Linked DNA regions of Nothobranchius furzeri. The protein of the gene in region 2 binds, or shares a complex with, the protein of the main gene of each other region. Links are inferred from orthologs where the notes say so. Each region holds a gene or a part of one and is shown on either strand. Other genes may lie near its edges. The genes, in order: lamtor3, lamtor1, flcn, lamtor5 and fnip1.

The links.
Region 1: lamtor1 (region 2) and lamtor3 share a complex: the UniProt entries of both Homo sapiens proteins name them as parts of the ragulator complex. The link is inferred for Nothobranchius furzeri from reciprocal best matches to the Homo sapiens genes LAMTOR1 and LAMTOR3.
Region 3: lamtor1 (region 2) and flcn share a complex: the UniProt entries of both Homo sapiens proteins name them as parts of the lysosomal folliculin complex. The link is inferred for Nothobranchius furzeri from reciprocal best matches to the Homo sapiens genes LAMTOR1 and FLCN.
Region 4: lamtor1 (region 2) and lamtor5 share a complex: the UniProt entries of both Homo sapiens proteins name them as parts of the ragulator complex. The link is inferred for Nothobranchius furzeri from reciprocal best matches to the Homo sapiens genes LAMTOR1 and LAMTOR5.
Region 5: lamtor1 (region 2) and fnip1 share a complex: the UniProt entries of both Homo sapiens proteins name them as parts of the lysosomal folliculin complex. The link is inferred for Nothobranchius furzeri from reciprocal best matches to the Homo sapiens genes LAMTOR1 and FNIP1.

Annotation. Positions count from the first base shown.
Region 1 is NC_091758.1:44,827,114-44,832,865, forward strand, and holds lamtor3 (ragulator complex protein LAMTOR3), read right to left. Parts: upstream 3,006-5,752; 5' UTR 2,889-3,005; intron 2,710-2,888; 5' UTR 2,687-2,709; coding exon 2,678-2,686; intron 2,308-2,677; coding exon 2,273-2,307; intron 2,200-2,272; coding exon 2,141-2,199; intron 2,067-2,140; coding exon 1,933-2,066; intron 1,839-1,932; coding exon 1,775-1,838; intron 1,707-1,774; coding exon 1,633-1,706; 3' UTR 1,468-1,632; downstream 1-1,467. Other genes in the region: dapp1 (dual adapter for phosphotyrosine and 3-phosphotyrosine and 3-phosphoinositide), read left to right, coding at 1,027-1,050. UniProt on the Homo sapiens protein: As part of the Ragulator complex it is involved in amino acid sensing and activation of mTORC1, a signaling complex promoting cell growth in response to growth factors, energy levels, and amino acids.
Region 2 is NC_091753.1:34,139,089-34,145,610, forward strand, and holds lamtor1 (ragulator complex protein LAMTOR1), read left to right. Parts: upstream 1-2,172; 5' UTR 2,173-2,349; coding exon 2,350-2,391; intron 2,392-3,929; coding exon 3,930-4,075; intron 4,076-4,342; coding exon 4,343-4,420; intron 4,421-4,861; coding exon 4,862-4,985; intron 4,986-5,064; coding exon 5,065-5,157; 3' UTR 5,158-5,522; downstream 5,523-6,522. Other genes in the region: sfrp2l (secreted frizzled-related protein 2-like), read right to left, coding at 1-70. UniProt on the Homo sapiens protein: Key component of the Ragulator complex, a multiprotein complex involved in amino acid sensing and activation of mTORC1, a signaling complex promoting cell growth in response to growth factors, energy levels, and amino acids.
Region 3 is NC_091745.1:76,767,553-76,773,963, reverse strand, and holds the start of flcn (folliculin), read left to right. Parts: upstream 1-2,485; 5' UTR 2,486-2,692; intron 2,693-2,810; coding exon 2,811-3,017; intron 3,018-3,351; coding exon 3,352-3,498; intron 3,499-3,584; coding exon 3,585-3,806; intron 3,807-3,911; coding exon 3,912-4,078; intron 4,079-4,175; coding exon 4,176-4,267; intron 4,268-6,411. Other genes in the region: leng9 (leukocyte receptor cluster member 9), read right to left, coding at 1,899-2,004. UniProt on the Homo sapiens protein: Multi-functional protein, involved in both the cellular response to amino acid availability and in the regulation of glycolysis.
Region 4 is NC_091755.1:27,981,248-27,987,800, forward strand, and holds lamtor5 (ragulator complex protein LAMTOR5), read left to right. Parts: upstream 1-2,350; 5' UTR 2,351-2,457; coding exon 2,458-2,492; intron 2,493-2,572; coding exon 2,573-2,634; intron 2,635-4,174; coding exon 4,175-4,292; intron 4,293-5,538; coding exon 5,539-5,599; 3' UTR 5,600-5,843; downstream 5,844-6,553. UniProt on the Homo sapiens protein: As part of the Ragulator complex it is involved in amino acid sensing and activation of mTORC1, a signaling complex promoting cell growth in response to growth factors, energy levels, and amino acids.
Region 5 is NC_091750.1:58,895,065-58,901,426, forward strand, and holds the start of fnip1 (folliculin-interacting protein 1), read left to right. Parts: upstream 1-2,696; 5' UTR 2,697-2,802; coding exon 2,803-2,894; intron 2,895-6,362. UniProt on the Homo sapiens protein: Binding partner of the GTPase-activating protein FLCN: involved in the cellular response to amino acid availability by regulating the non-canonical mTORC1 signaling cascade controlling the MiT/TFE factors TFEB and TFE3.

The DNA.
Region 1 (5,752 bases), on a different chromosome or scaffold from region 2:
GTGGTGACCCTGCGGGCACCAAGGTGCTCTTGGGGTCACCACGAGTGCCCCCCGCAGGCCAGTCTAAAAATGGCACAAGTCACCACTAACCCTGATTTTTCCTTTTTTTAACTGTGTTGCTGTTTTGAGTTAAAGCTGCATCGATGCTTATTTGAAAGTGAAAATATTACTTAATCATTCCTGAGAACAAAACTATTTGGTGTTTTTGTGTGTTAGCGTACGTAAATGTGGCAGCGGTGCAGCTTGAGGGGCTGCGAGTAGGGTGACCAGATGGCTCACTTAGGGGACTTCTGGTTATTTGGTTTGGAGAAAGGTTTCCTGGTTTAAAACTTTGACTAAAGTAGCGCTCGTCATTCATCAGCTCCTGCTTCGAGTGCGTCGGGGAGCGTGGATCCACCCAGAACATTTACACATCCAGGAGCCTGAGACAGTCCAGAAGCTCATAACCTCTTCAGCAAGCTCCCTGGAGACATCTGACCATTCACAAGCTGCAGATGAGCAGCTGGGGTCACGCGGCGTTCGGGCCGCAGCAGTGAAAGGTTCCTACTCCAAGTGAAAACGTAGTTTATGTCCCTGGGGCACTCTGAGCCGCTTGTTTGGACTGAATATGAATAAAAATGAGTTAGGGGTTCTCTTCCAGCAAACATGCGCTGCGCTTGTATAAAAAATCTATTTTTGGGCTTCTTCTGTGTTCGCTAATCAGTCCGTGCATCGCTTTGGTGGGAAAAATGATCCAGATCACCCAACCCTAGTCTGAACTGGATCAGGAGGCCTGCGGCTGCATGTAAGTGAGGGAGCTGGTGGCCTGAGGTCATGACCTCTACAGGAAGTCAGGTGGACATGATCTCAGTCTTGGAGAAAGTAGGTTAGATGAAGATGCACGTCTCTGGATGTGAGTCCAGCTGATCCATTTCCCTCATGTTTCAATTAACCGACGAGTCCAAGGAGCCTTGAAGCTCAGAGGACTTGATACTTCTGAATGTATTTACAGTTTCAACCATTAATCCACCAACTATGTGTTTCCAGTCTCAGGTAAGAAGAGGCCGATGACACTCGTCTGCAGCTTCCTCCTCCAGGTTGTCGTGGAAACGGTGAATGAGAACCATCCGGAACAGGACTCATATTTTAAATGAATTCTGTTCATTCTGAAGATCTTTATGGGTCCATCAGAAGATCAACTGCTTCACCAGTTAGCTGGAAGCTCAGACATGTCAGGGTTCTGATGCTCGCCATGCTGTATGCCAGCAGCAAAGCATTGTGGGTAGAACTGACATGTGAGTGGCTTATTTATATCTCCACATGAGAATGTGAGTTTCCAGAAGCAGGAGAACCAGTTTTATTGTGGAAACACTTTGTTCATGACTGATGAATGTTTAAATTAAAGCCTCTGAAACCATCTGGACTCCGTCTGCTCTGAGGTTCTTATCTGTATTCTTTAGGTTTAACTCTAAATGAACCACTCTGGTGCCCAGAACCCACACATTTATTCAGACTAAAAGCACAGATGGAAACATTTACAGCAACGTGAATGAATCTGGTCCACACTGAACAAGCTGCAGGCAGAATTTCCTACAGAACCCAAACACATCGTGAGGATGGTGGTGAGCAGCAAGTCTTCTGGTGAGTCGGAGACTATGTCACCTCCACCACCTGCCTCAGATCCTCTATTAGAGGAGTCAACTCCTTCTCCAGACTCATGATCAGACCTGAGAACACAGAACAGAACACTGAACCAGACTGAACATCTGTTTGTCTCCATAGAGACAGATGTTACCTGTGTTGGCACCGCTGCTGGCGATCAGGCTGATAACCAGGGGGAGGCGATTGAACTGCACAATCTGATTAAGAAACACGCATCACCATGGAGACTTATGTAAAGGCATGAACATTAATGCATCCCTGTGCCGACGCTCAGAGGAGCTGCTGTGTGACCTGGTAGGAGTTGTAGTAGCAGATGATGCTCTTGTTCTTGGACAGGCCGAGTTTGCTGCCCTGATCTGTGGCCAGAGCGAAGGTGGACAAGAAACCGGGTCTCAGCGCTTGGACGGGGGCGTTGTCATTGGCAACTGTAAAAATGAGAAATGAGGACATGGCCCCCTTACCCGGGCAGGTGAGGAGGACTTTAGCACTGGCTCCTTACCTTTCACAACTGGAACACCGTCTCGGTCCGTCACTACGATGGCATGAAGACCTTCAACACTGGGAGAGTTTAAATGGATCAGTAACAACTACATACGGGTGAAACACTGAGCGTTCCCATGGAAACACCAACCTTTGGAGCTGTTTGTACAGGAATCTCTTCAAATCCTGCAGAGAAACCCACAAAAACTGGATTAAACATTTTATTATAAAAGTAAGACAACAAACCACTCCATCAGTGCTGTGTGAACAAAATGACAACTGGACGCAAAATAATAAAAAGACTGCTGCTTTAAATGTCTGGTTGCTGGTTTAATTCCTATTTCAGCGTCTCAAGACAAAACAAATCAATCTCAGACTCGTGACTCATTTAACTGATTAAAACAGCTTCTAGAGAAATCTGCTTTAAGCTGCATCTGATCAGACCTTAGAAAACACCAAAATGAACCGTCTCCGTTTGCAACATAAACACACCTAGCTTACTTTGTTTAAAAAACTGTAAAAGTTCTTTAAAATTGAGAAAACTGGTCATACTCACGTCTGCCATGACGGTCTGATCTAGTTAAGTCTCTGTGGGCAGAAAACGAATGTTAACAAATAAAACCTCCCACAAAAACCACTAACTCAAAGTCTACACTCAAGTTTAAATAAAACAAGCTAGCATGTCAGCTAATCAACAGAGATGCTGCTTCCGGTACAAACGGCCCGCTAAACAAAACACACATAAGCTATAAAAAATGCACAAATACCGTCTTCAGATGACTTTAAACACCGCTGAGACGCTCTACATGCTAAACAAGAGCTACCAGCTACCAGCTAAGTCACATGACATACGGGGCTTATTTCCGGTTTGTGCGGAAGTGTTTACGGAAGTCTGTGCTGCGTGGTTTTAGCCACGAGAGGGCAGTATTACCCTGCTTTACAACAGGACAAATGTCAAGATACGTTTAGATATTTTTACAACCTGTTCGAAAGTCTGACGTTTTTATATGACGTGATTTTTTTTACCGTTTCATCACTAATAGTATGACTGTTTAGCATATTGTTATGATTGTACGGTTTTTAAATATTTGATCACTCATCACAAGGATCATACAATCTCCCTTTTTTTTTTCGTGACACACACACACACACACACACACACACACACACACACACACACACACACACACACACACACTAGGGATTTTTGTAATAAGTGCGTGTAACAGCATCAAACTACGGTACGTGTGATGAGAATGTTAAAAAACAACAAACTATAACTGGCATGATTTTTCTGCATGTTTCCATGACACACACCTTTCTCTCTTTACTTCGCAGGCAGTGCATCTGGTTTCACCTGAACACAGTACAGCTGACTATCAGGTCATGTTAGGAACGTCTGCGCCGCCTCTGAGCGGTCCCTGTTGGACCGTCTCGATGACAGAAACTGGATGGCAATACATTTCCTCAGGCGCAATGATGACAAGGTCACGCTGTTAGGGACAAATGGCCCTGGGAAAGTTCCTGATGGCGACCTGTCCTCCCTGGCACCCTTTAGGAGGTCTCTCATTACCAACCTGGGAGTTGAGATAGACCCCCTCATGAACTTAGATAGCCAGACAACAGCAGTTGTAAGATCATGCTTTTATCAGCTCAGGCGTTAAAGAAGGATCGAGTGGTACGATGCTGCAATCTTGCACTCAAGCATTCCCTCCCTCGTGAACAAGACCCTGAGATACTTAAACTCCTCCACTTGGGGCAGGACCTCATCCCTGACCCGGAGAAGGCATTCTACCCTTTTCCGACTCAAGACCATGGTCTCAGATTTAGAGGAACTGATGCTCATTCCAGCTGCTTCACACTCGGCTGTGAACCGCTCCAGTGAGAGCCGGAGATCATGTTCTGATGAAGCCAACGGGACCACATCATCTGCATAAAGCAGAGACTCAATCCTTGGTGCTGCATCTGCAGTGATGCGGGCGTTGTACCGGTCTGTCGTGGTGAAGAGAGAGCCGAGCCGGAAGGCGAAGGTCTCAGTTTACCGGTCGATCTACGTTCCTACCCTCAATCCTTAGAGATAGGGTGAGAAACTCGGTCATCCGGGAGGGGCTCGGAGTAGACCTGCTGCTCCTCCACATCAAGAGGAGCCAGTTGAGGTGGCTCGGGCATCTGGTCAGGATGCCTCCTGGACGCCTCCCTGGTGAGGTTTTCTGGGCACGTCCAACCGGGAGGTGACCTAAAGGTAGACCCAGGACACGCTGGAGGGACTATGTCTCTCACCTGGCCAGGGAACGCCTTGGGATTCCCCGGAAGAGCTGGCCCAAGTGGCTGGGGAGAGGGAAGTCTGGGTGTCCCGGCTTAGGCTACTGCCTCCGTGACCTGACTCCGGATAAGCGGCTGAAAATGGATGGATGGATGTTTTTAAAATAAAATTGATGACACTTATAGTGTTAAGTTTATTTTTATATTTTCACAACACAAACGCACGAGGTTTGATCATTTTCCTCACACATATTAATAGTTAAATGAATCATTTCCACGGCACATATTATCATGTTTTAGTCACAGTCGTGGTGCCCTTGGGCAAGGCACTCCTTACCTGCAGTGGTTGGAGGGACCGGTGGTGCAGGTGAGCCCCAGAGCAGCGGGGAGAGGGGAGAATGACTGGTAGGCAGGAAGGTGCCCCTGATCTCCACCAGCAAGCTGGTGATGTCCAACATGGCGGTGCAGGTATCGCCCCTCTGGAGGCAGGCGTTGCACATTAGCACCTACCTACCCTGCTACCCCACATACGTAGTTCATGAGTGTTTTTCATCAGAAGAACCCCTGAAGGACGTAGTTGTTCGTCCTTTCATCAGAACCTATTTTGAGCCTGAGAGGGTTAAACTGTTGCCTCGCAGCAAAAAGGTTGCAGGCTCAAAACCCAACTGCAGTCTTTCTGTGAAGCTGCAAGTTCTCCACATGCAAGCGTGGGGTTCCTCCGGGTTCCCCCCACAGATGACCCTACAGGTTAACAAGTTGCTCTGGATGAAAGCGTCTGCCACATGAATAAACATAACAACGTTTAGCGTTTCTAAAAAATCCACTTTGGAATTGGAATAAAAATCTTTCCTGAGACCGTATCAGTTTTTCCTCTACGGGCATCAGGAGAAACTCTGATTTCCACGTCACCTTCGCTGCCACCTGCTGTGTCAGGCAGCAGCGAGCTGCAGCAGGTCGTTGAGAGGTTTCCGTGTGAAGGACACTTCGACCAGACATGAAACCAAATAAATCGGATTCACTCAGAATAAACAGCCAGACGCGTGGCGCTGACTTCCTGTCTGCTTGTCTCTGTTTCTGTGGCTGTTTGCTGTCTGTCTGCATTTCCAGACAGATCAATACTTGCTCACGGGCCCCGCCGACGCACACACGGAACGTTTTACTCTCTTTGCTTTCCAGTGATTCCACGGGAACAAAATGTTCCACAAACCTTTCCATTGGGTCTGCTGACCGGTTCTGTTGCTGACCGGTTCTGTTGCTGACCGGTTCTGTTGCTGACTGGGTTTAGCGTAGGACGAGTGGTGGTTGTGCACCGGGCCTCGTTGGGGCTTCACTCTTGTGTTTATGGTCTGGAAAAGGGAACATGCTGCGG
Region 2 (6,522 bases):
CGGGAGCCACTGCATCGAATGCGCGAGACAGTCTGGAGAGCAGGACAAAGCTGAGCAGATAAACAGACATTGTTCTTGTTCCTGGTGAAGTCTTCAGAGCAGATCTTCCCTGTTTAGGGTAGGGTTATGGAGAGGGCGCCTCCCAGTCCATCCCACCCATCAGGCTGCTTCTGACATCACCAGAGGAGCTCAATCTGAGATGACTCGATTATGATTTTAGACTCTTGCTCGGCTCTGACCTGCCAGAACCAACTTTGGGCTCATGTTTCTCACAAATAACAACAGTTTAGGAAAACTTTAGTTTATGAATCTTAATCTGTAGAGTAGGGGAGTTCAGAAGGGAAAATGTCATATCTTTTTAATGCTTGCAGTGATGCGTTCATGAACCTGAAACAAAAAAGAAAAACAAACAAAGCAGACTTTTAAGTTTCAGTTTGGCCAGTCCTCCACAAGCCAGATATGTTTAAAGATCTGCCGATTCCAATCACCACGCGCCAATTTTTCAGTTTCTTCTTTAAAGTCGTTAGCTCAGATTTTTGTGTGTTTATTGCTTTGCTTATAGTTTCTTATGCATGTATCCTGAACATAATGTATAAACTACTGTATAAAACGATTGTATAAATAGTTGTTTCTAAATAAACGCAGATTAATTTGACAGCTTTTGAAACTATCACTCATTAATGTGCTGTTTTTTGCCCTTAAAGAATTTAAAATATTGTAAATCAAACACTGACAACAAAAACAACTTAAAGTTATTTAAAATTTAAACTGTTGAAACACAAAGTTAAATGCAAAGCTGTAAATGTGCTTGCATTTAAATTGATGCATTATTTGAAAAATAGGAAAACCAAAATTTTTGATGAGTTGTGCTGTCATCTGAAAACATTGACTGAAATAAACTGGAACTGGTTTGTTACACTGTTTTTATTATGCACTCAGTCAAAGGCATCTGAGACCCTTTCATCTTTCTCAGAGAAGCTGCCACTTGTTCACCAACATGCCTCATCCTGTTTCTGTCTCTTGTTCATCCTGCACAGCAAGCTTGGGAAAAGTTTTGATCAAACACTTGATGTTTTTAGATTGACAAAAAGGAAAGAGGCAATCTCATTATCTTACACAATAATCAGTTATTTAACATGGATACCCTTCTCTAAAACAACATTTTAAAGCTAAAAAACAGTTATTCTTGAACTTTAGTGGCACATTTCCCATCTGAAACAGCTGCTGGCATGAGAGAAAAAGGAGATGCAACAACTCCCATGAAGGTTGTAAATGTTAAAACTGCATCCACATAAAAGGAAGGAGCAAAGGTTCCCAGTAGAACAGTACCTGTGCTGACTTGCTTTATTTTCTAACTCTGTCCAACTTACACAAACCAATGTCCTATAAAAAAAAATCAGATTCCCATTTGCCCTTGGTCTGGGTTTGAGTCTCTGCCTATAGATGCCTGCATGGATAATCTGGTTTAACAAAAGGATGGATGAACATTTTGTGGACCGTTGAGACAAAAGTGAAACGTTTTGTAAGATTTGTGACTCATCTTGTGGGAAACTAACAGTGAGTTTCAGAAAAAGATCATCATACAAACGGTACCTGGCCCATGGAGAATGTCTGAACTTTTAATTTAAACATGCCAAAAACATTTAAAATGAATTGTAGACTTAAACTTCTCCACACCAATGTGAGAGACTTATGTGCAGTTATTGGAAATGCTTGCATGCTCTTGATGTCTCACAAAGTTTTACAACTATAATTTTAGGGAGTAATTTTTCCCCTGGACTGATTTGGATATAGACTTTTTCCCATCATTTGAAAACAGACTTTTATTTACTTGGGTTATTTTCTCCCCGTATTTATTTATTTTTTGCTAACATGAAACATTTAACTGTGGCAAAAACGCAAAATGCTGTATTCTGCTTGTATTTCATTTGTTCTCTTATTTTGTAAATGAACTTTGTTCAATAAAGTTATTGAAAAAAGCAAATCCTGTTTTGGGAGCCCCTATGACTGGAACATTTATGCTTTTTTTAATTATCAGTCACCATTTTTAGTTCTGCCGAGGTTTCTGATAAGAACGTTCAACATTTCTGCCCTCACGTGTCCTGGGACGTCGCTGCTTCTCAAATACCGGAAGTAGTTGTTGTGTTGTTGTTGCACCACAGCTGCTGTCATGTGATAGCCTCACTCAGAAGCTGCTGTGGACAGTAGATTCCTACTTTTGTATGGGGCCGTAGTAACAACAGTAAGAAACAAACAAAGCTTTATGTTTGCAGGGGAAGAAGAGCTCTGCTCGTTTCTGAAGGAGCGCAGGGAAGCCGGGGTAGTTTAGTTTCAGCCTTGGACGTTGCCATGGGTTGCTGTTACAGTGGCGAGGACGACAACTCCAGGGAGGTAGGTAGCTAGCTAGCTGGCGGCTAAAGCTAAAACAGTTAACTTCATTCGTTTATTCAAACACTAAATAAGTTCTGCTGGCTAGGTGTCTTGACAGTGTTTAGTGAATGAGCCATTTCATGTTCACACATAACTCGTTTGTTGTCCGTAACATTAAACAGGAAGCGTCAGCTTGCTAAGGCCTGGGCTAAAGGCAGCCCTTTGAGTTAGCGCAGGTCAGAAACAGTTCAGAATAAACTGTCCTGAGGGCAAAAATCAAGTGTTTAGTAAAGCTGCGAGCACATCATTTTCTGCTATTGTCCTGTTTAGTGGGGCATGAGGATTTATAGCCTCCCAAAGGTCCTGCTAATCAGGAATAGACTGATTTCTTCTCTACTTATTGGCTAAATAATCAATTGTGACCCGTGTGTCAAGGAGCTAAATAACTGAACATCATGTGGATGTGCGTGGTGTCATATGGCTGCTGTAAATATCCCAGTTTTATTTTAGTTTAGGGAAATAAACCAGTTTGTCTTCATCCTTCCTCATAATCAGTTTCTCTTTAAGTAGATTAATACATTTCATCTTAGGGTTAGGGTACAACCTGGGTACAACCAGTCTATTTAACCTATGTTAGTCTGAAAATATACATTTTTCTTTACAGTTTCAGATAAATGTAAATTTTAAGGCAGAATGACTTTGATATATTTAAGATTGTATATAATCAGCTCTCTGTTTCTGAACAAAGGAAAATTAAAGGTCTGGAACACTGAAAAACCTTTTAATGATCATTTCTGATTATAACTGACCACTCTTGAGTTTTTTATTCAGGCAGAACATGAACATAGTCTCCTACACCTATCTCCAGCATTAGCTTCTGATAGAAGACAGACGATGAAACGCTAGGATTAGAAAATCCTGACAGATTTACGTCACACTGTCACTTAACATTCATGGACTCACCCATCATGACTCACAGGGAAGGCTGTTGTTGGTCTATCATCCAGGAAACAACAGTGTGTCTCGGCTAGTAGAAGCTAACCATTACTATTAGCATTAGCAACTCTACCACATGGCAGAACTCTATCAGGCTTGTGTTATCTGAGACAAGGTTTCCAAATATCAGGACGTAAGAGTATAGCTCCTGTCATTTGAAGTTCTCCTCTAATGTGACAATATTCTAGTTCCTGAAACAGGTGCACTGGAGCTTTTTTTCCTCCAGAGTACAACTTGCAAGGCATTCATTCCTATTAGACACCACTGTAAATCTACTTATTAAATGAGTGTCCCCCACCTTTATACATTTCTGTCATTGTTTATAACATGTAATCGTAAAGAAGTTGGACGGACATTTGTATAATGCATGAAAGTTGTTTTAAACAAACTTTGATTAATTCTTCTTCTACATATATTTTGTGTAACGTTTACTCCTTCTCCCCAGAAAACATATCTAATAACTAATCGTTTAATCTCATAGTCTCTTGTTTGTTTTATTAAACGTATAATTTGCTAAAACTACCTGATCACATTATTTCTATTTTATTCCAACTCTGCTCTAGAAGAACAGTGAAACGGAGTCACTAATACCCCATCCGAACCCTGTCAACAAACCTCCAAATGGGACCGACTGGATCACTCCCAGTGTTCCCTCTGCACAGGCAACTGAGCAGGCTATCCTTACATCCATCCTCACGAAGGCCGCACAGTAAGACGCTTCCACTGATGAGTCTAAACACAACATATTTACCATCCAAAGAAACTTTATCAATGACTTTTAGATCATGTGAAATAACATTTGTGTAATTGAACTAGAAGGTATTAGTCATGCACCTCCAGGTTACTAGTGCAGCACTACACGGATGTTGGGACTATAACCGATGATGTGTGACTGCATCGTACTACAGCATCCGTTAAGAGTGTTGGAATAGAGAATAATCATAATATAACTAACGTTGTTTTTCTTGTCTTCCAGGAATATCATTGATGTCTCTGCAACGGAATCAGTGGTTATGGAGCAGCGTGAATACATGGACAAAGCTAGACAATACAGGCATGTAGACGAGTAGATGTTTGTTATAGACTGATACTTTATTTTTGATGGGAGGTTCTACTTTTATTCTTCTGGAACTAGTTGACCTGAAAGAGTTGTTGATGAGACTGAATCTGAAGTTTATTTGGGCTTTAATTAAAAATGTTTTATTAAAGTCATTCAGGAAATGAACAACGTAAAACTGTCTTTTTGGAGGCCATACAGCTGGGGAAGAAGAAAACTGCTGACATGAAATAAGGAATTTCAACACCAGACCTCAAAATTACAATAAGGCCGGCCTTGCCTCCTCCTTTTTAGTGACCTCTAGTGGGCATCTAATTATATTGCATCTAAAAACGTACTTGTGAATAAACAGCCGTTCAGTTCATGGAAAACATTTGTTTTTGAGTCATTTTAACTCAAATTAATTGCAAGTTTGTTTTTGATTGGGTTTTTTTATAGTTCAAAGTTGGCTGTGTTGAGCACCAACCTGCCCCCAAAGAAAGCAGACACTCTTCCCTCTCTAACTAGCCAGCCCCACCAAGTTCTTGCAAGTGACCTGGTGCCATATTCAGATGTTCAGCAGGTAAATCACACACAGATCACATTCTTAACATGATGAAATCTTTAGCACACCAACAGTAACTGTTCTTTCTCCTTCGCAGGTGTCTAAGATAGCGGCTTATGCTTACAGTGCAATCTCTCAAATCAAAGTGGATGCTAAAGAGGAACTGGTGGTCCAGTTTGCCATTCCCTGATTCTGAGACTCTGAACCTGCATATCGTTGCTCCCATCCTTCTCTCTCTCCCTTCTGTCACTCACTCACTCTGTCAGTCACTCCAGCGTCATCATCCTTCAGCCCACGTTTTATTAAAAGCTATTGATCCTTGTTAGATGTGACTCTTAAAGACTGACTGTGCATAATTTCACTCTGTACTTAAGTGAAATTATTAAAGGACACTGGTGCTTGTCAGTCATCATTTGAGAAACCGAGGATGGACATGGTTGTATTCTTCATCAAGAACACCACTGTGTGTGAATCATGGCTCAGTTAAGCTAGGCGTGGGAAAAATTGAAAAGATTTATTCCTCTTTGATTTTTTAATAAATAGGATTTTCACGGCCTTTCTGTTCAACCTCAAGGTTTAACTTCACACCATGGCAGAATCACCTGTAACAGAGCCACAGTGAGAAACTCGACTCGTGGTTTATTCACTGAAACCTCACAGGTTCAACTTTAATTGTGTTCATTTTGTCCACCACAACTTAAGAGGTCGCTATAATTTAGCAGGTTGTAGCTGAGTCTCTTCTAATCTGGGATCAGCATCAACAGCCATCACATCAGCCTGGCTGTAGTTATGTTTAAATCTGAACAGGTAACATCAATTTAACCATTTCAAACCGAATCCACACCATGAGTGAGCCGTTAACGGTTGATCTCTGGTGTGTGAGAACACACACGGAGGGGAGAGTGGTGGCTGCAGGACGGCTTCCAGGATGTCACCAGGAATCCTTTAGGCCTCCCTGGAGCCTTGAGTTTACAGAGATGTTTGACCTCAGACGTGGAGACGGGTGTGGAGGATGCAGGGATGTACGTTGTGTATTCCTGCCTTTGTATAGAATTTTTGATCAACTTTATTAACAGTTTAAGGATTGTGTGAAGTGCTCTTTATTGAAGGTTAATTGAAATAGGACTTTTTAAATGAAACAGCCATGACTTTTGGATATTCAGCTATGATCCTTAATCAACTGCATTAATCTGAAGCTTGACGTAGCAGCGTGGCCATGAGCGTGACATGATAAACTAGGTGCCCTAGACGGATTCAATCCCAGACTTTTTCCTGATTGTTTATATTTCTGGTTTTATAAATGTCTGCTGTCTCTCTGGAGGCAAGCGCTGTGAGCTGATGTGGAACTGCTAAAGGGATGCTCTGCAAAAGGCTGCGATTATTCATACCACACAACTGATCCAGGAGGCGGGGGAGATATATTTAGGCATCTTTTTCTGTTAACAATGGAAGACTGTTTGTAATATCTTAGGCTTGTACCAAAAAGTTATAAAGTTTTGTTTGTTTTTGGTTAAATCAGTTCATTAAAAACATTCAGTAAACACGGATGTCTTCT
Region 3 (6,411 bases), on a different chromosome or scaffold from region 2:
ACACACACACATTATGTTATTTACTCAGGTAATAAGGTAGACTGCTTTTTATGAGGAAACAGAGGTGTGGCTGTTGCTGCTTGCTTCCATCTAAAATATTAAAAGCTATTCAATAATATGTGTAAGTAGTGATGCACCGATATGACATTTTTGGGCCGATACCGACATTGATACCAATATATTGTCCATCCCTGTGTGTAAGTATCACAAAGATGAGAGTAGGGGATTTTTGAAATATTTTTGTAGCTGTGACTCACACCAGGTAGAGAATACCACTCCCACCATCCTCTTCACACTGCTGGTGTGTGAGCGGAGTCGACTCACACAAAGCTCCCGAACCCAACACTAACCTGAGATATGCTCTAAAAGACTTTACTGCTGAGTTCACAGGTGTTTTTGAAGACAACGAAAAAAAACGCTTCATAAGCCGAACACAGAAGATAATCAGGGATGTGTTAGGGCCGCACAATTTTGGTTAAAAGGAGAATGACAATTATTTTGTTTGCTTAAAATTGAGATCAAGATTCTCTTACAATTATTATCCAAAATAAGTATTTATTGCACTTATTACCTGCATATCAACTTACGTACACAACTTTTAAATAATTTAAACGATAACTGTTTTGAACAATGTTCTCTCTGCTTGTAAGGTGATGAAAGACGTAGGTAATATGTGTGTTTGTTAAAATGTAAACCGCAATTATTAACAAAATGTAACATTTAACAGGACAGCATAATTGTTGACCATGGCAGGATCACAACAGAGAACATTGTCCTTTTCTTGTCTAGCCAGCTGCTTAAAATCCTTATCATTTGGAAATGAGATTGCGTACACGCATGAATTGAGATTGCGGTTTTTATAACTATTAGTTGTGCAGCCCTAGGGTGTGTACTCAGTCCTTTAAACTTTAATCTGCAAACACACAAATGTACCTTTGGCACAAAATTGAAAGCTTTGCAGTTGGACTCATTGGCATTGAGGATCAAACATGATAAATGACCCGCACTTGTATAGCGCCTCTCAAGAGTAGGGACTCCAAAGCGCTTTACACTACAGTGTATCATTCATCCATTCACACACACATTCATACACTGGTGGGGATGAGCTACAATGTAGCCACAGCTGCCCTGGGGCGCACAGACAGAGGCGAGGCTGCCGAGCACAGGCGCAACCGGACCCCGACCACCACCAGCAGGCAAGGTGGGTTAAGTGTCTTGCCCAAGGACACAACAGCAGAATTATCTGTCCGGAGCCGTGATCGAACCTGCAACCTTCCAATTACTGGACAACCCGCTCAACCTGTTGAGCTACTGAGGTGAGCTACATGTTACAGAGGTGAGGTTAGGGGTTTTCCACCAAAGCAGTTGCATTGCTAGTTCAGAGCCATTGTTTGCTAGATCTTCCTGTTTCGACCACTTGGAATGTGGAGATGGTTAGGGGGCTACCACACTGAGCATCTCTGCTCAACTCTACACCACACATGACTGCAGAAGAGTCACTTCAGCAGAAGGCTGTGGTTGAAAAGTCCCCTCTCCATCCTTGTCACCATTACCAGTGACCTACTGACAAGATGCATCTGTAGAGCAACAGGAAGTGACTGCAACTTGTGGTGAAGATGGCCAAGTCACTGGAGGCTCACTCAGACAACAGAACCAAATCTGACCAACATGACTGGCAGGTGGGTAGACACAGGGAAGAAAGACGGCGAGAGAGAGAGAAATACAGATTTTTTTATATTTATATACATATAAATATACATATATTGAGAGAGAGAGAGAGAGAGAGAGAGAGAGAGAGAGAGAGAGAGAGAGAGAGAGAGAGAGAGAGAGAGAGAGAGAGAGAGAGAGAGAGAGAATGACAGACATGAGAAAAGACAAACACTAAAACAGGCATTTACCTCTCGTGGCTTGTTGGGCATCTTTCCTACTTTTAGTTTCAGCTGGGGGGGTCCCTCCACCGTCCACTGCGGATTCTGGGGGAACTCCTGATCCGTCTGACGCCATTCCCAGTTCAGAAAGGCTCCTACGTCCCTGTTGGGCTTTGCCTTTTCCTTTACAATGAAACACGGAAGTTACTGATGAGCTAATAAAGTAAACACACATGCTGTAAATTCAACATTATACAATGTTAATTACATTTAAATCACAAATACAAACGTTTTAAGAAATGGTGTTTTATATTTATTAAAAGTACATTACCACACGGTCCTCTGTAGCTCCGTACTTTTTAGCACTCTAGAGAAACGCTGACCAACTCATTCGTAACCTTTACCCTCCTCGAACTTAACTCTGGGTAATGTAGTTTTATGTTGTCTTTCGACGAAACACGCTTCGTAAAGTCAAATGCTAGCAACACATTTTCCCATATGAAAACTATCTGCTCACAGACGACATTATTTTATTTTAAATAAATCATAAAATAGTAATTATGATTAAACTTAATCAACTCCGTGACGTACGTCATGATTTGTGTCCGAGCGCGTGACTCGAGGTCACGTGACTGTGCTGTTTGCTAACAACTCGAGACTGAGACGAGAAAGTGCTGAGAGGATTTATTCTCTTGAATTCGCGCGTTTTATACGAGACATGTAGACGAAATATTTGATTTAGCGTCACGCTTTTGTTGTTTATACATTTTTAACACAAACGAGTGAAGCAGCAGCGAGCTCCAGTCTAACTCTCAGTGCTAAAGGTGAGATCCTCTCGTTGCTGCTGGTTAAAATGGCTTAAACGGGTGTTAGCTTGTGAATAAAAACTATGTCATAAATTACGTTGATTAGATTCTCATAAACGCTTGATCCGTTTCTCAGATGAATGCTCTGGTAGCTTTGTGTCACTTCTGTGAGCTCCATGGCCCTCGGACACTATTCTGTACCGAGGCGCTACACCCTCCATCCCCAGACCCCTCCTCTCAGGTGGGCACCCCGGTTCCAGGGGACAGAGATGCTGATCGGGAGGGTGAAGGTCTGACCATGAGGGCCAGCGGGTCTGTGTCTCAAAGAGGGGAGATGTGTGAGGTGAGTGGGCATGCGTGATGGGATCTCACCCACAGTAAACCTTGGAGAAGGTTCATTCAATTCAGTTTATTTATAGTCACGACAACAGTCGTCTCAAGTCACTTCACATAGTAAACATTTCTATACAAAGGAACTCAGCAGATTGCAGTGCTCACACTAAGCAAGTGTGTAGCGACAGTGGAGTGGAAAACTCCCTTTTAGCCCCAGAAGAGCCAGGCTCAGTATGAGCAGCCACCCGCCACAACTCATTATGGTTTAAGAAGATAGAGCAGCAACATTATTTAATAATCCTGTAATCGAAGTTCTCCTTTTCCCTCCTGTCCATGCCTCACAGGGATGCCGATCTCTACCTGCGTCTCACCCAGGCTTCGTGAGCATCGATGATGAAACAGGAATTCGCTTTGTGAGCCATCAGCACCCCAGACAGTCTCAGCTTTTCAGTGTAGTTCGTCAGGCTTGTGTACGCAGTCTCAGCTGTGAGGTAAACTCTACCTGATCTAACTGAGGAGGACCTTTTCTAACCTCCCCTCCTCCAAAAACGCGAGTCTTTTTGTTGTTGGGTTTCAGGTGTGCCCTGGACGTGAAGGGCCGATCTTTTTCGGTGATGAACAACACGGGTTTGTGTTCTCACACACGTTCTTCATCAAGGACAGCCTGGCCCGTGGGTTTCAGCGCTGGTACAGTATAGTTGTAGTGGCCATGGACAGGATCTACCTCATCAACTCCTGGCCTTTCCTGTTACGACACCTCAAACTCACTATACAAAGTCTGCAAAGCACAGCTCTAAAGGTAGAGCCTAAATGTAGACTGTGCATTCATTTTTTTTTACTGGACAAACACTTTGTCATTTTAATAAGTCAGTTTGTGCTGTTTTGCCATCTTTTTGTCCATCAGGTGTTTGACACTGAACAGGGTATTTGTCCCCAGCGAGCTCTGAGGATGAACAGCGTGTTTTCTCCTGCGGTTTTTCCACATCAAAGAAGTGGCAACGCAGCCCGATCGCTAACTTCTCTCACTCAGCATCCCAATCTCTGGGCCAGCCTGCATTGCTCCTTCAGCTGGTGAGTTGAGATAGACTTTTAATAGCCAGCCATTGTGATTTCTCCACGTTACTTTTATGACTTACCAAGCTGATGTGTGTTTTCACTTCCTTTTTAGGTTACTGAAAGCCTGTGGTTGTCGTCTGACAGAAAAGCTCCTTGAAGGAGCCCCAACAGAGGACACGCTGGTTCTTCTTGAGAGAAAAACAGGTAGAAAGACATGATTTCATCAGACATTCACTGCTATGGCTAGTGTTTTTGTTTGTTCAACTAGTCAGCCTGAAATCCGTAAGAGTGAATCACAGAGTCGATCGGGAAAGGCATTTGATCCAGGAAAACATGACACACCACTTCACAGTTAAACCCCGGTTTGTCGAGATTTAGAAAGTGATTAAAAGACTTTTGGAGAATTTTTGGGGCTCGGCCCAGACACGACTGTGGAATGAACTTTGTTCATTGATAAAAAATAAAAATAAATGTCCAAACAAAAACCTTTTTTTTACATGATTCTAAATCATTTAATGGAAATGATCAATGTTTTCTTCAAAAACCACAGAGCAGCTTTGCAGTAGTCACAGCCTGGCAGCCCACAGACATTCCTGGGTGTCTCCTTCTAGCAGATTATCTAATGCGACCCCCCCCCCCCCCCCCCCCCATATACCCTATGGGCCAGCTGTTCCCAGATCAGCGCAACAGGGTTCTGGCACGCAGCAGAAAGAAACATGATATTTTCAAGTGATCTCAAATATTTGTCTGGTAATGTAGATGATAGCTAGCCTGGCCGGCCAGACTCGTCCTCTGTTTAATTCTGCACAAAGAGTCTGGTAACTCACAGGCGGAGAGGCACTTGAGGGGCGGGACTAGACAGCTCAAAAATAACCAATGAGAAAAAAGACGTACATGCCGACTGTACCATGCAACGCTGTAGTTAAAAAATGGCGTCTAGCAACGGCGCAGACATCTATTATTCTTTTAAAGTCAAAGTTAAAGTCCCATTAGTTGTCACACACACAGGTATGTGTGTGACATTTATTCTCCGCATTTGACCCATCCCCTGGGGGAGCGGTGAGCTGCAGACACAGCCGCGCTCGGGAACTATTTGGTGGTTTAAGCCCCCAATCCAACCCCTTAATGCTGAGTGTCAAGCAGGGAGGCATTGGGTCCCAATTTTTCAGTCTTTGGTATGACCCGACCAGGAGTTGAACCCCTGATCTCCCAGTCTCAGGACACTCTACCACTAGGCCACTGAGAAAGGGTAGAAGAAAGGCTTTTAGCACTTCTGCTTGTTGTGGTTCTAAAGACATTCAAGTAATTTAGAACAGAGGAAAGAGCCGCAGCGAACTCCACTTCAGGCGCCATGTTTACGACAAACTCGGCGTTATGGTGTGTGACGTACAATGCTCAGCGCTGATTGGCTCGGTTAGATTCCTCATGGTTATTTGATTAGGGGAGTTCCCAGACCCTTTCTCTGTGCAGAATTAAACAGAGGAGGAGTCTGGCAGGCCAGGCTATATGATAGCACATTAAAGGCTGGGAAGAAACCACCAACCATGTTTTAAAGGTTCCAGATGATGCTATTTTAAACCTTTGAGAGTAACGGTACACACAGTATATGATCAAACATTACCATCGGCACTATTGAGATGTCATTTTATCTTAAATGCGACGGTGGCACAGGAGTTAAGTGCTCGCCCCGTAATCGGAAGGTTGCAGGTTCGAGCCCCGCTCAGTCTGTCGCTGTCGTTGTGTCCTTGGGCAAGACACTTAACCCACGTTGCCTGCTGGTGGTGGTCGGAGGGACCGGTGGCGCCAGTGCTCGGCAGCCTCGCCTTGTCAGTGCGCCCCAGGGCAGCTGTGGCTACATTGTAGCTCATCACAATCAGTGTGTGAATGTGTGTGTGAATGGGTGAATGACTGGTTGTGTTGTAAAGCACCTTGGGGGGTTCCAGGACTCTAGAAGGCACTATATCAAATACAGGCCATTTACCATTTAAATAGGAGTTATTTTCATCAGCCTGAGTTTATACCTGGAATAGAAACGATTAGTTTCAGTGAAGCTCCGCCCACTTCCGCTCTAACAAAATATGCCTACGACAGCATCTCAGGCAAGTCAGTTGCTGCGCTGGCTAGCGGTTAAAGGAACGGCCTTTCGTCTTGTTTTGCCGTGGGCGGACGCCTGTTCGACTGCTGTTGAGGGCGGTAATTTATTCAGCCAGATGAAGTAGATGTCATGTTTCTATATTTTAGTTTTATTGGTTATTTTCTGCAAAAGATGTTTGATTTTTGTCATTTTCCAAGCAGCATTTTAGCTGATCTACTCTGCTCACCTCACATGGACTCCCACTGGTTAAATA
Region 4 (6,553 bases), on a different chromosome or scaffold from region 2:
GTGTGTGTGTGTGTGTGTGACCAGAAAAGAAACTGTGACGTAACAAATCTAGGAAATGGTTCTGCGTACTTGCACCATTGCCTACGTGCATACTGGGACAGTGATGAGAGGCTGGTTGTCAACGGAAGCAGGCTTCTGGTGATTTAAGATGCACAAGGAGAAATATGAGAAAGAGAAGAGGGGAAGCAAAGAAAGAAGAATTAGAGGAAAGGAGGGAGAGAGTAGCCCATAGGTTAGTCAGCAGGACATTGCACTGTTGCTGCTCCAGTGATGGATTCCCCAATGCTGCAGCCACATAATTATACTCACCCATTTCTGCTCAGTCAGCAGGAGCACTGAAGCCCCACCATCTTGGAATAGGCAGGCGAAGTTATACAGGATGGAGAGCTCAAATGTATCAAACTAACTTTAGAAGAAATATCTTTAAAATACTCCATCATCAAAGTGCTGCAAATGCTAATTTTAACAAATACACAAGGTGATTTTGAGCGAAGGAATGCATTGAATTGTACAGACATGCCAAAAATATTGTTTTCATGAAGAACCTAATAGGAATCAGCTCTGATGGTTTGGATTCCGGAAATGATTCCACTTGTCAGTGACAACATTAATCAAAACCACATTTTCAAGTAACCATGTTATGACTGCAGACAATGAGGCTAGATGGGCTTCAGTTCTATCTATTTAATGAAAATTATATCAATTATCTCAATGACTCATCTTACATAGGACAGTGGAACTTGGATTATAATGGTGTTTTTAACATCCATGATATAATGATAATGATAATTATTATTATTATTATTATTAATTATTAATAATAATTATTATATAATATAATAATTATCAAATCAAATCAAATCACTTTTATTGTCACGTCACATGTGCAGGTACACTGGTACAGTACATGCGAGTGAAATTCTTGTGTGCGAGCTTCACAGCAACAGAGTTGTGCAAAAATACAGTAACGTAAAAACATGTAAAATATAAAAATGGCTAATCCAAATATACAAATGAATAAAGTAAACAATAAGATAAGAGATATAAAATATATAGAGGCTGGTATGTGCAAAACAGTGGCATTAATGTACAGTATGGAATGTGTAATGTTGGAGTTTCAGTAGTGAGGGTGAGGTGTCTGTGAAGTGTTCAGCAGTCTGATGGCCTGATGGAAAAAGCTGTCTCTCAGTCTGCTGGTTCTGGACCGGATGCTGCAGAACCTCCTTCCTGATGGAAGTAGTCTGAACAGTTTATGGCTGGGGTGACTTGAGTCCTTGATGATCCTCCCCGTTTTCCTCAGGCACCGCTTCTTATAGATGTCCTGGAGGGAGGGAAGCTCACCTCCAATAATCCTTTCTGCACACCGCACTACTCTCTGGAGAGCTTTGCGGTTGTAAGCGGTGCTGTTGCCATACCAGGTGGAGATGCATCCAGTGAGGATGCTCTCAATGGCACAGCAATAGAAGGTCCTGAGGATACGGTGGCTCATGCCAAATCTTTTCAGTCTTCTGAGAAAGAAGAGGCGCTGCTGTGCCTTCTTCACTGTATTTTCCGTGTGCACTGACCACGTAAGATCCTCTGCCAGGTGAACTCCAAGGAAACGGAAACTGCTCACCCTCTCCACAGCGTCGCCGTTGATGGTGATGGGGGGGTGTATTCCTCTGCTTCCTCTGCTCCTCCGGAAGTCCACTATCATCTCCTTTGTCTTTGTGACGTTGAGGGTGAGACTGTTGTCCTGACACCAGTGGGTCAGGGCGCTGATCTCCTCCCTGTAGGCCGTCTCATCGTGATTGGTGATGAGACCTATCACTGTGGTGTCGTTCGCATACTTCACAATGATGTTGGAGTTTCTCGTGGCCGTGCAGTCGTAGGTGTAGAGTGAGTACAGGAGAGGGCTCAGCACACACCCCTGCGGTGCACCAGTGTTCAGTGTGACGGGGGATGAGGTGGTGCCGCCCATAACATTATTATTATTATTATTATTATTGGAAAATTTAATAAAACTTGAAGGAAAATGCTAATTCTTTCTATCTATCTATCTATCTATCTATCTATCTATCTATCTATCTATCTATCTATCAATCTATCAATCTATCTATCTATCTATCTATCTATCATCTATCTATCTATCTATCTATCTATCTATCTATCTATCTATCTATCTATCTATCTATCTATCTATCTATCTATCTATCTATCTATCTATCTATCTATCTATCTATCTATCTATCAATCATCTATCTATCTATCTATGCCTATTTTGTTTATGTAATGTAAATGGAAAGATTTTGCGTTCTCTCTCTCTCTCTCTCTCTCTCTCTCTCTCTCTTTCTCTTTCGCGTCACACTTTTTGGTCCTCGTTGTGACTCGTAGCGCACGTGACGGTCAGCTGACTCTAACCGGAAACGTCGATGAAACTGTAAACAATTAAACCTTCTCTCTTTTCGTTTGTTAACGATGGAGTCGACTCTTGAACAGCATCTCGATGACACGTACGTTAAAAATCTCACTCTAACTGCTGACGTACTTCACTTTTTGTTTCATTAAAGCCTTTCTCCTTGTTTTTTTGTAGCATGAAGAATCCAGCAGTTGTCGGTGTGCTCTGCACAGATCACCAAGGACACAACCTGGGCTGTAAGATTAATTTAAAAAAGATTTACAGCAAAATGTATGAAACATATTCGGTTTAGTTAGCTTTTACAAGGCTACGTCAGTGTCGTGTTCTTTTTTTTTTGAATAATGAAATAACTTAGTTGCAGCAAAAGCTATTAATGTAACACACAAATAATATTATTTCCTTCAGTTTAGCTATTTTCATCTGTAAAGGTTGAAATACATACTACAGTATAGTTGAAGTTACTGTGAATCATACATTTCAACCATTAAAATCTCAACTTATTTCACATGCCAGAAAATCTTCACAGTGTTTGCACTGTTAGCATAATGAGATTAGCATTTCTGATGGAATGAGCTCTTCTGGCTGTTTAACAGGTCAACAGGAAGCTGCTGTAATTAAATTTAATCACAAAGGCTAATGAGGTATAATTAAAATTAAAATGTAATGTTTTTATAATTCTCTAAACACAACCAATCCAAAATGATGCTTATAATTGTTTATTGTTGATTATTACTCATAAACTAATAAATACTAAATGCTTAATAACCACGCAGTTAGTTAGTGAGGTCATTTATGAACATTATTCACATACAACAATTACTGTCATTGGGAAAGTGAATACTCCGTGGAATTGATTCTGTGTTACTTGTTTGGCTTCCATGGTTTAGTTTGAACTTTGATCTCTTCTACAATTCATCAAACTTCAGGGAGATGAACATGCTCTAAATTTTACTTAGGCTGTGAATTCAGAACATATCCAGTCCATTTTCATCAGCTGTGCAATGAAACACAAAGCAGAACAACTGATGATAATATAAAGTAATTATTTTACTTCCCAGAGGACTCCTGCAGCAGCTGACAGGTATCATGTGGTCTGAAGAATCACAGCTTGACGGTTGCTGGAGCATAGAACTTGCTGGAGGGGCTGTCTGCCCTCTAGCTGTCTTGATGGAGATGGAGAGTCACTGAGATCAGAGAAATCTGAGCTTCGCTCCTGGACCTGTTAGCAACCCAGACTTTGATAATTGGAAGAAAAATGATGGATATATCAGTATATATATTTTTTCTGTTCGGTTTAATTAATATTTATAACAGAGGCATCCAGCAAAGTCTAAGCTCTTTGTTAGCGTCCTCATACTTTTATTATCTTTTTAGGTCTTGTTGAAAGTTATTTTGAAAAGGTTATGATGTAACTGTTGGAAGTGGGTAAACATGAGTATTGTTTTGTGTAGTCAGTAGCAATGTTTCCCTGGTACATGGACAAACCTAAATGAAATAGTCAAAAGATGCAGAAGACAGAAACCAAACAATGAGTTCAACATGATTCAGATCCTCGAGAGACCCCAGAATTCAGAAATCCTCAGTCTGGACTAAATAACAGCAGTGGGACAGAAATGTTTGTAATATGTTAACAATCCTTCATAAGGAGGTCATTGTTGTATACAGGTTTGGAATTAACACAAATCACAGAAAATGACTGTTTGAAAGATGCACTGATTTCCTTTTTTTAAGACATTTAAATAATTCATTGCGTGTTTCTTTTCTTTTTTCTTTTAGGTCGTGGCTCCTTGTCTGATGAACATGGTGGTGTTGTGTCTGTTTTGTCCAAACAAGCTATGGCGCTCACCAGAGACCCAACAGTCACCCCGACCGTGTGCCTGGAGTCTGAGTCAGGGTGAGAGCACTGACCGGGTTTTAGCTTGACTTGTAATTCTTTTTAAAAATCTATCTCGGGGTATTTAAGATGTACCTTTGGGGGTTCTGATTAATGTGTACGGAGATCAATTACTCTAAAAAAAGCTTTTTGAGAGAGATCAGAACCAGAGACTCAGGGTTCTGAATCTGATCCAGTGGTTCACTGTCTCCCAGCAGCTATTAGCATCCGGGTCCGAGCCTTCATCGCGGTTGCTAAAACCAGTACGCTTATCTGGTTCCTCCAGTTTCTATTTACTTACCAAAGGCAATGCCATTTGTGACTTTGAACTGAACATGCTCGGTTCTTGGCATTAGATTCCAGAATGTTGTTCATTTCTTTCCCAAAAGGCAGCTGAGATATTTTCTTGAGACTCCAAGCCCTTTTTAATTTCCCCTAATAACCTCGTAGACATTTAAATAACCCCATCATCATTAAAAACGGGTCCAAAGTTGAACTACAGAATAAAAAATTAAAAAGCCAATGTCCTCTTTAGTGGACGGAGGCTCCATGGAGGATGGAGAGGGAGGAAGTCAACCAACTGTGGGATTTTATTTATGTCGTTGTGCTGCCATCTTCTGGTAAATGAACATCTCGTCTTTCAGAACATTTTACCAACCCAATGACAGCTCCTGAATATTTATTTATTTAAAATTACTGCTGCGAACTTTCAATCTCAGATATAATTTGTTATCTCAAAAGTCTAAATAACATAAATACAAATACAAACGGTTTTGAGTCCGATTCAAGGCTTATTTTAGCTTTTACATCAGTTATATTCAAACAGTATTTTTAGGTTGTGATTGATCATCTCCACAGCCAGAACTCAGTGTTCCATGAACCACTGGGCCATCGGGACCCCAACTTTTGGAACCACTGCTTTAATTATGTTTGAAACCATAAAACCAGAATTTGTGAATAATTTTGTTTTTGATTTTTTACACTTAGTATAAATGATTTAGAGATCAGATTTTTTAAAATTATGATAAACCTTTATGCTTTATTAAAGATGGTTAAGGTATGAAAATCTGTTTCTTTTTATTAGCACTGATAACTCTATTGGTGCCTTTTAGTAGAGTTACAGTAAGATTATTAAATGAATGTCGTGGTGAATGTCTGAGAGGTGGGACCGAAGCAAACGATGATCACCAAAACACCACTTTTCAACCTGATCATCCGTGTGATTTCTGATTATCAGGTGAATATTGGTGTTTTTATTGTTTAACAGAAACATTCTGGTGAGGAGTCATGGCACCATCACGGTAGCGGTTCACAAGATTGCATCGTGAAGACAACAGGAGCCTCAGGAGTTTTGGGATGAAGACATGAAACATACACAATCCAAACAAATCAGAGAAAAGTGGGAATTACACTGATTTCCTGTTTGCTGTAGATGTAATATTGAGGAGTATTGTTGACTGGGTGTGATGAACAGAACTGATCATGTTGTGTGAAATGCAGTGAAGGTTGTTTGTCTGATCTTAAATGCCACAAACACTCAATAACCTTGATTAAACGTTAACTTGACTTTCAGCTGTGTTTTGGAGTGTTATTTTGTGGTTAACCAGTTCATTATCTTTGGCAACACTTGTGCATTCATTACTGAGATGTTAGAACACAGGGCTAAACGACTTTTCTGTTCTGCTGATTGGAAAATCAGATGTGCATGAAAAAGACTCCAACCATGTGCGTCTGAGGCGCACGGGCGCACCGGATGACCCGAGTAAAGTCTGTAGTGACTGCAGAGGTGGTTTCTCTCCCCACCCCATCAACCCTCAAATGGGGGCTCAATGCGCCGTCCCGGTCACGTGGCTCTCCGCGGTGAGGGCACCGCTCTCTTCTGCTCGTCGGCACAGCGAACGATGCTGAGGCTGAGCTGAGGGATGACATCCGCCCGCTCCTGCGCGTAGAGGCAAAGTTATGGCCCGATCATCCTCGGAAAACAAAAAAGGAAGAAGAAGGGTCCCGCAGCCATTCATCTCAAAGTCCCGCACCGGTAACGCGCATGCCTGTCAGGGGCGCACAGCCACGGAGCGTGAAATCCCCGCATTACGCGTCAAATCAAAGCAACTGAGCTGATTTCGACGGAGGCAGAACAAAAATTAATCTCAGGTATGTGCTGCAGCTTTTACGCTTTTATGTAAATTCACTTCAGACTTCCAACTGTCTGCAAATGAAAACAACTTAAACCAGAACTTGGTGTCCCTAAACCGGATCCTGAAAAGTTATTCTGGTGTCAGAAA
Region 5 (6,362 bases), on a different chromosome or scaffold from region 2:
ACTAGTTAACTAGAGAGGGTACAAATGTCCACTAGTTAACTAGTGAGGTGCAAAATAAGTGTCACTAGTTCACTAGTGGGCCCCAAAATGCCCACAAGTTAACTAGTAAGGTGCGGATATGCTCACTAGTTAACTAGTGAGGTGCAGATTTGCTCACTAGTTAACTAGTGCACCCTTAAGCGCCCACTAGTTAACTAGTAAGGTGCAAAAAAGCATCACTAGTTAACTTGTAAAGTGCAGATATGCTCACTAGTTAACTAGTGGGCCCCAAAAAACCAACTAGTTAACTAGTAGGGTGCGGATTTGCTCACTAGTTAACTAGTGAGGCGCAGATATGCTCACTAGTTAACTAGTGACGTGCGGATTTGCTTACTAGTTAACTAGTGAGGCGCAGATATGCTCACTGGTTAACTAGTGAGGTGCGGATTTGCTCACTAGTTAACTAGTGAGGTGCAGATTTGCTCACTAGTTAACTAGTGAGGTGCAGATTTGCTCACTAGTTAACTAGTGAGGTGCGGATTTGCTCACTAGTTAACTAGTGAGGTGCGGATTTGCTCACTAGTTAACTAGTGAGCATATCTGCACCTCACTAGTACCTCACTAGTTAACTAGTGAGCATATCTGCACCTCACTAGTTAACTAGTGAGCAAATCTGCACCTCACTAGTTAACTAGTGAGCAAATCCGCACCTCACTAGTTAACTAGTGAGCAAATCCGCACTTCACTAGTTAACTAGTGAGCAAATCCGCGCCTCACTAGTTAACTAGTAAGCAAATCCGCACTTCACTAGTTAACTAGTGAGCATATACGCGCCTCACTAGTTAACTAGTGAGCAAATCCGCACCCTACTAGTTAACTAGTTGGCGTTTTGGGGCCCACTAGTTAACTAGTGAGCATATCTGCACTTTACAAGTTAACTAGTGATGCTTTTTTGCACCTTACTAGTTAACTAGTGGGCGCTTTAGGGCGCACTAGTTAACTAGTGAGCAAATCTGCACCTCACTAGTTAACTAGTGAGCAAATCCGCACATCACTAGTTAACTAGTGAGCATATCTGTGCCTCACTAGTTAACTAGTGAGCAAATCTGCACCCTACTAGTTAACTTGTTGACATTTTGGGGCCCACTAGTTAACTAGTGAGCATATCTGCACTTTACAAGTTCACTAGTGATGCTTTTTTGCACCTTACTAGTTAACTAGTGGGCGCTTTAGGGTGCACTAGTTAACTAGTGAGCAAATCTGCACCTCACTAGTTAACTAGTGAGCATATCCGCACCTTACTAGTTAACTTGTGGGCGATTTGGGGCCCACTAGTGAACTAGTGACACTTATTTTGCACCTCACTAGTTAACTAGTGGACATTTGTACCCTCTCTAGTTAACTAGTGAGCAGTTCCGCCTTCACAAGTTTACATGTAAGTGTCACACTGAAGCCACTACTAGTTCACTAGCTGAGGTTCCTCTGGCCAGCATGTTAACTTGTGTGCCGCATGCAAATGTTTGGGGTGGGATTTTACGAAATTCCGCACTGTGATTGGTTGTCATATTTTATTTTGACACAGGGAGCCAATAGAGAGTCTTAATTTGAGAAATTCTCCGCCTCCTAATTAGAATGCTGCGCAACTAGCTAGCTAGTGTGAATGTAGACTTGAACTAGTTTACTAGTATACATTTATGTCCTCACTAGTTAACTAGTTTGGACAATGGATGCATCAACTAGGTAACTAGTGAGCCTGCTGCCATCAACTAGCTAGCTAGTGAGTCATTAATGGTTCACTAGTTAACTAGTGGCACTGACCTACTCCAACTAGTTAACTAGTTAGGAGTTAAGCCTTCACTAGTTAACTAGTGTGCACATTTTGGCCATCAATAGTTAACTAGTGAGACACAAAAAACCTTCAACTAGCTGACTGGTATGCACTTTGGCCTTTACTAGTTAACTAGTGAGCCATTTATGTGTCAACTAGTTAACTAGTGAAGCCAAAATGTGTTCACTAGTTAACTAGTGCACATTTATGTCTACCACAAGTTAACTAGTGTGCACATTTTGGCCATCACTAGTTAACTAGTGAGACACAAAAACCTTCAACTAGCTGACTGGTGTGCATTTTGGTCTTTACTAGTTAACTAGTGAGCCATTTATGTGTCAACTAGTTAACTAGTGAAGCCAAAATATGTTCACTAGTTAACTAGTGCACATTTATGTCTACCACAAGTTAACTAGTGTGCACATTTTGACCCTCACTAGTTAACTAGTGAGACAAATACCTTCAACTAGCTGACTGGTATACATTTCTGCTTTTACTAGTTAACTAGTGAGCAGTTTTTGTGTCAACTAGTTAACTACTGAAGCCTAAATGTGTTCACTAGTTAACTAGTGCGCATTTCTGCTGCCACTAGTTAACTAGTGGGCACATTTTCACCCTCGATATTTAACTAGTTGACACAAACATGCCTAACTAGTTAACTAGTGGACAGAAATGGCTTACATGTTCATGACAATTCTGGCTGATATCCTGATATCAGAATAAATGCTCATTTGGCTTGCCATACAGACCAAACATCAACACAGCGAACCCTCTAACCACGTGGTACCCAGCCAATAATATCAGCCAATCACGTAATTTGTTGCAGCTACCACGCCTGCTGAGCCAATCACAAAAAAGCAGTGGGTTACTAAGCAGCTCCTGTGACTAATGCCTGTCATATGACTCTGACACCCATGGAGACAGTTACAAGGAACAAGATTTCCTCTCGGATTTAAAAACAAAAGAAAACTGTAGAGAATTTCTTTTGGTTGAAAATGCCTCCGACTCTCTTCCAGAAACTTTTCAACAAGAGAAGTGCAGTCTCGTCGCCGCCTCCGAGATGTAGCAAAGGGGATCCCGCTTTCAGGTAGCTGTTTTGTGTTTGTAAATATGTTTGTGTGCAACGTTAATTGCGCTAAAATTGTGTAATTTGTTAACCTGTGTGGATGTTTAACGGTCTTCTAGTGATACTTGATTTGTTTTTAGCCGGCTGGGGTGTACACAAAAAATCTTTATCCTTTAGAAATTTAAACCTTGGTGAAGGAAAGCGGTTGGAGACGTGGGAAACGTGCTTGTTGTTGGTGAGGAAGCTAACGTGCTAACGATAGCTCCTAGCAATGCTACTGCCCACGCTGCATTAGTAGCTTCCCTCGACAGCCGATTTAAACAAAAAGCCCTCATCGTTTGCAGTTGATACGAAGTTAGCACAAAATGCCTTGTCTGGAAAGTGTCGTTTTCCACTTCATTGCTATGAAGTTGCAGAGGCATGTCCTTGTTTTTTTTCCTCCGCGTGTTTCCGCTCGAGTTTTTTGTTGTTACTGGCGATACAGGCAGTTTATCTCTAGCTAGCATGAATAAATTGGTATAAGTGGCTTTTCTCAGCCTTGCAGACGTTGCTGTGTGGTTAGACAACAGTGGAGGACACTGTGTGCTCTAGCGGAGAGCATGTGATGGCTCAACTTGGCCACCAAGGCACGGATCAATGCCAAACAGGGCATCAGCCTGCAGGTCATTCACAACGTTATGTATATTTTAAAGGAAAATTAAATATTGCTTCTCACACACGTTTCATTTCCAAAGTAATTTTGTAAAAAATATAATTTCGAGTTTGAAGTGCTTTCATTATATTTATTATTGCCTGGAATCACAATGTTTCCATTATTTTAGCCCTAAAATTAGATAAAAGAACTGCTTTGATGAACATTTTTGGCTTTTTTTTTCAGTTTAATAAACAGGCAGTTAAAAATAACAGTTTGAACATTTGTATTTTTTCCCTGAAATACATGTTTTTAATCTTTTTAGAGACCACTGATTTTAGTTAAAAACAGGGGCAGATTTAGGACTGAAGAAGATCCGGGGCTTAACACACACACACACACACACACACACACGCACACACACACACACACACGCACACACATGACACGCACTAGTCAACATATATATTTGTCTTGTACCACATAATTTTTAATCTGAAGCTACTTATTAAGCATATTCAGGGCAGAGTATTGTTCCTGTTAATGGTTAGTGTGAGATGATAGTAAATATTCCCTTTCTTTCTCCAACAACTTTACCTGATAAGCTAACTTTAGGCAAACCAGCAGCACAACAAATATTTTCAAATAAGACTCACAAACCTGAGTCAACACCAGTCTCATCAAAGCTGGGGTTCTGTCGTTGTACTTTTGGTCTAAAAAACGTCCTTATGTCCATCTTCACACATGCGTTTCAGGCAGACTAGAAGAAGCCGGCTGCTGAAGGGCTTTTTCTTCAGTAGTGGAGGCTCAGGCAGGCTGTATACAAACTACTGCCAGCTGCTCCCTCTCTGTTGGACTTTGGTACTGCATGTTACTTCCGCGATTTAGATCAGGGGCTTTTCATAAAACATCCGGGGCTTCAGCCCAAGTAGCCGGGCCTAATGCCGCCCTCGGTTAAAAAGCAGCCAAATCAAAAAGAACAATACATTATTATATTGTTATTAATAATAATGTTATTTGAAAAGGGACCCGCCCACTGGCAGAGCAGCAGGCACCTTAATAATAATAATAATAATTAATAAACCTCTCTGCCTCTGAAGGTGTTTAAACCTGCAAAAAAGACTACTTCCTTTGCTTCTATCTCAATAAATACACAAATTGCAGATGATTTGGGTAATCATGTCAAATAATATTTTCCATTTGACTTTTGTCATTTCTACCTGTCTAATCAAACAATGAATGTATGCCAATGTACATATCATTAAAAAATGTCTTTTTAGCCAGAATTTTTTAATGAATATATAATTAAACAAAAGCCCTAATTTTATGGTTATATTAATCTGTTATTTACATGCTTTCTTTTGCCATTTCACCGATTTGCAGTGGCATTGTCTCAAGTAATTGTAAGCAAATGTTTGAGTTCTTGTGATATTTTTCAGGCCTAACCCATTTATTTTATTCCTGTTAATTACATTCAATTAAACGATGATACTTTGGGGGACAAAGGTGTTTAATGAGAGCAGAATACATGCGCATGCTGCATATGAAATGAAGAATATCTAAGACCAGTACTAAGCTGTATAAGTATTTATTGAGGTAATAGTTAATGTGGTAGAACCATGCATCTTTGAGAAGGTTAGCGTAATACTAGGAAACTCAGTTAATTTGCACATTTGTATGTTCAGGGTCAGGTATGCTACCAAGGAGAACGGACTTTAGAGTTGCAAATGCCTTTTCATTTTGAAAGATGTTGCTGCCATCTTTTCATGTTATTTTGGATATATATTTATATCCAAAAAGTGCACCTCCTTTGCGGTGCTTCTTGCACGTTGACCAATGTTGTGTCATAACATTTCTGCAGCTGTAAAGGTGCCCTGCACCCACTGATGTAAAGGCTGTGTGTGTGGGCTGAAGGGAGGGTGGAGGTGGCTGGCATCAGTCCTAGAGCAAACAGACAGTCAGCAGGCGTTTCTGTTAACTCAGTGGTCAGCTGTGCTCTTCATACCTCTGGCATAAGCTCTCCATTCATCAAGCACCAAGCGGCTCTCCAGGGGGGAAATCTGTTAGGAGATGTGGTTGGAGAGGACACGTAGACGACACGGTCTATTTTAATCGAGGCCTTTTAAGAAAAGTGTCCTAGAGATGTTACTCTGTTGTTATTTTCATGCAGATCTCAGACAAATCTAATCAGATTTGTGTAAATGTATATTTTATACAGCCTCTGCAGCTAATATTAATAATTGACAAAAATAATTCAAAACAAAAAGGGTTTGTTTTGCATCCGTGTTGGCGTGTACAATTTGCCACCCGCCAGAACACCGTCAGAGGCGTTCAGAATACCAGCGAGGGCAGCAGGTTGGCTGACGCTTGGAGGAAAGCCTAAAAAGCCTCTCCTCTTTCTCTGGCTGCATCAGCTGACCACTGGCAGCATAGTGTACATTACACCCAGATCCTCTGGCTCTGCCAGGAGCTTTCTCCACACTCGGTGCCTGATCTGACAGCTTGCTGGGGAAACTTTCTTCTTGATCCAAGCCACACATACGTATGAATAAATAACTTTAGTCAGACAAGCTAAACTGGATTTTTTTTTGAACATCACTGAAAAGTAAGGTTAATAAGTTTAATCGTTTTTCAACCCTGTAAATATCCTTTATACACTAAGTTAGTAAATATTTATTTAACCCTGATCGTAACCCCACATAAAAGAATGTATACATTAGTATTTGCTCTTTTTAACTGGATCTATTTTACCTAGGCTCTATCTTCTTTCTGAAGTTTGACAAGAAGCCGTGTCTCTGGTTCCTGTTTGACACGTTTGAAATCATAGTTTCGTAACATAGTGTGTCATGTGAGGCTTG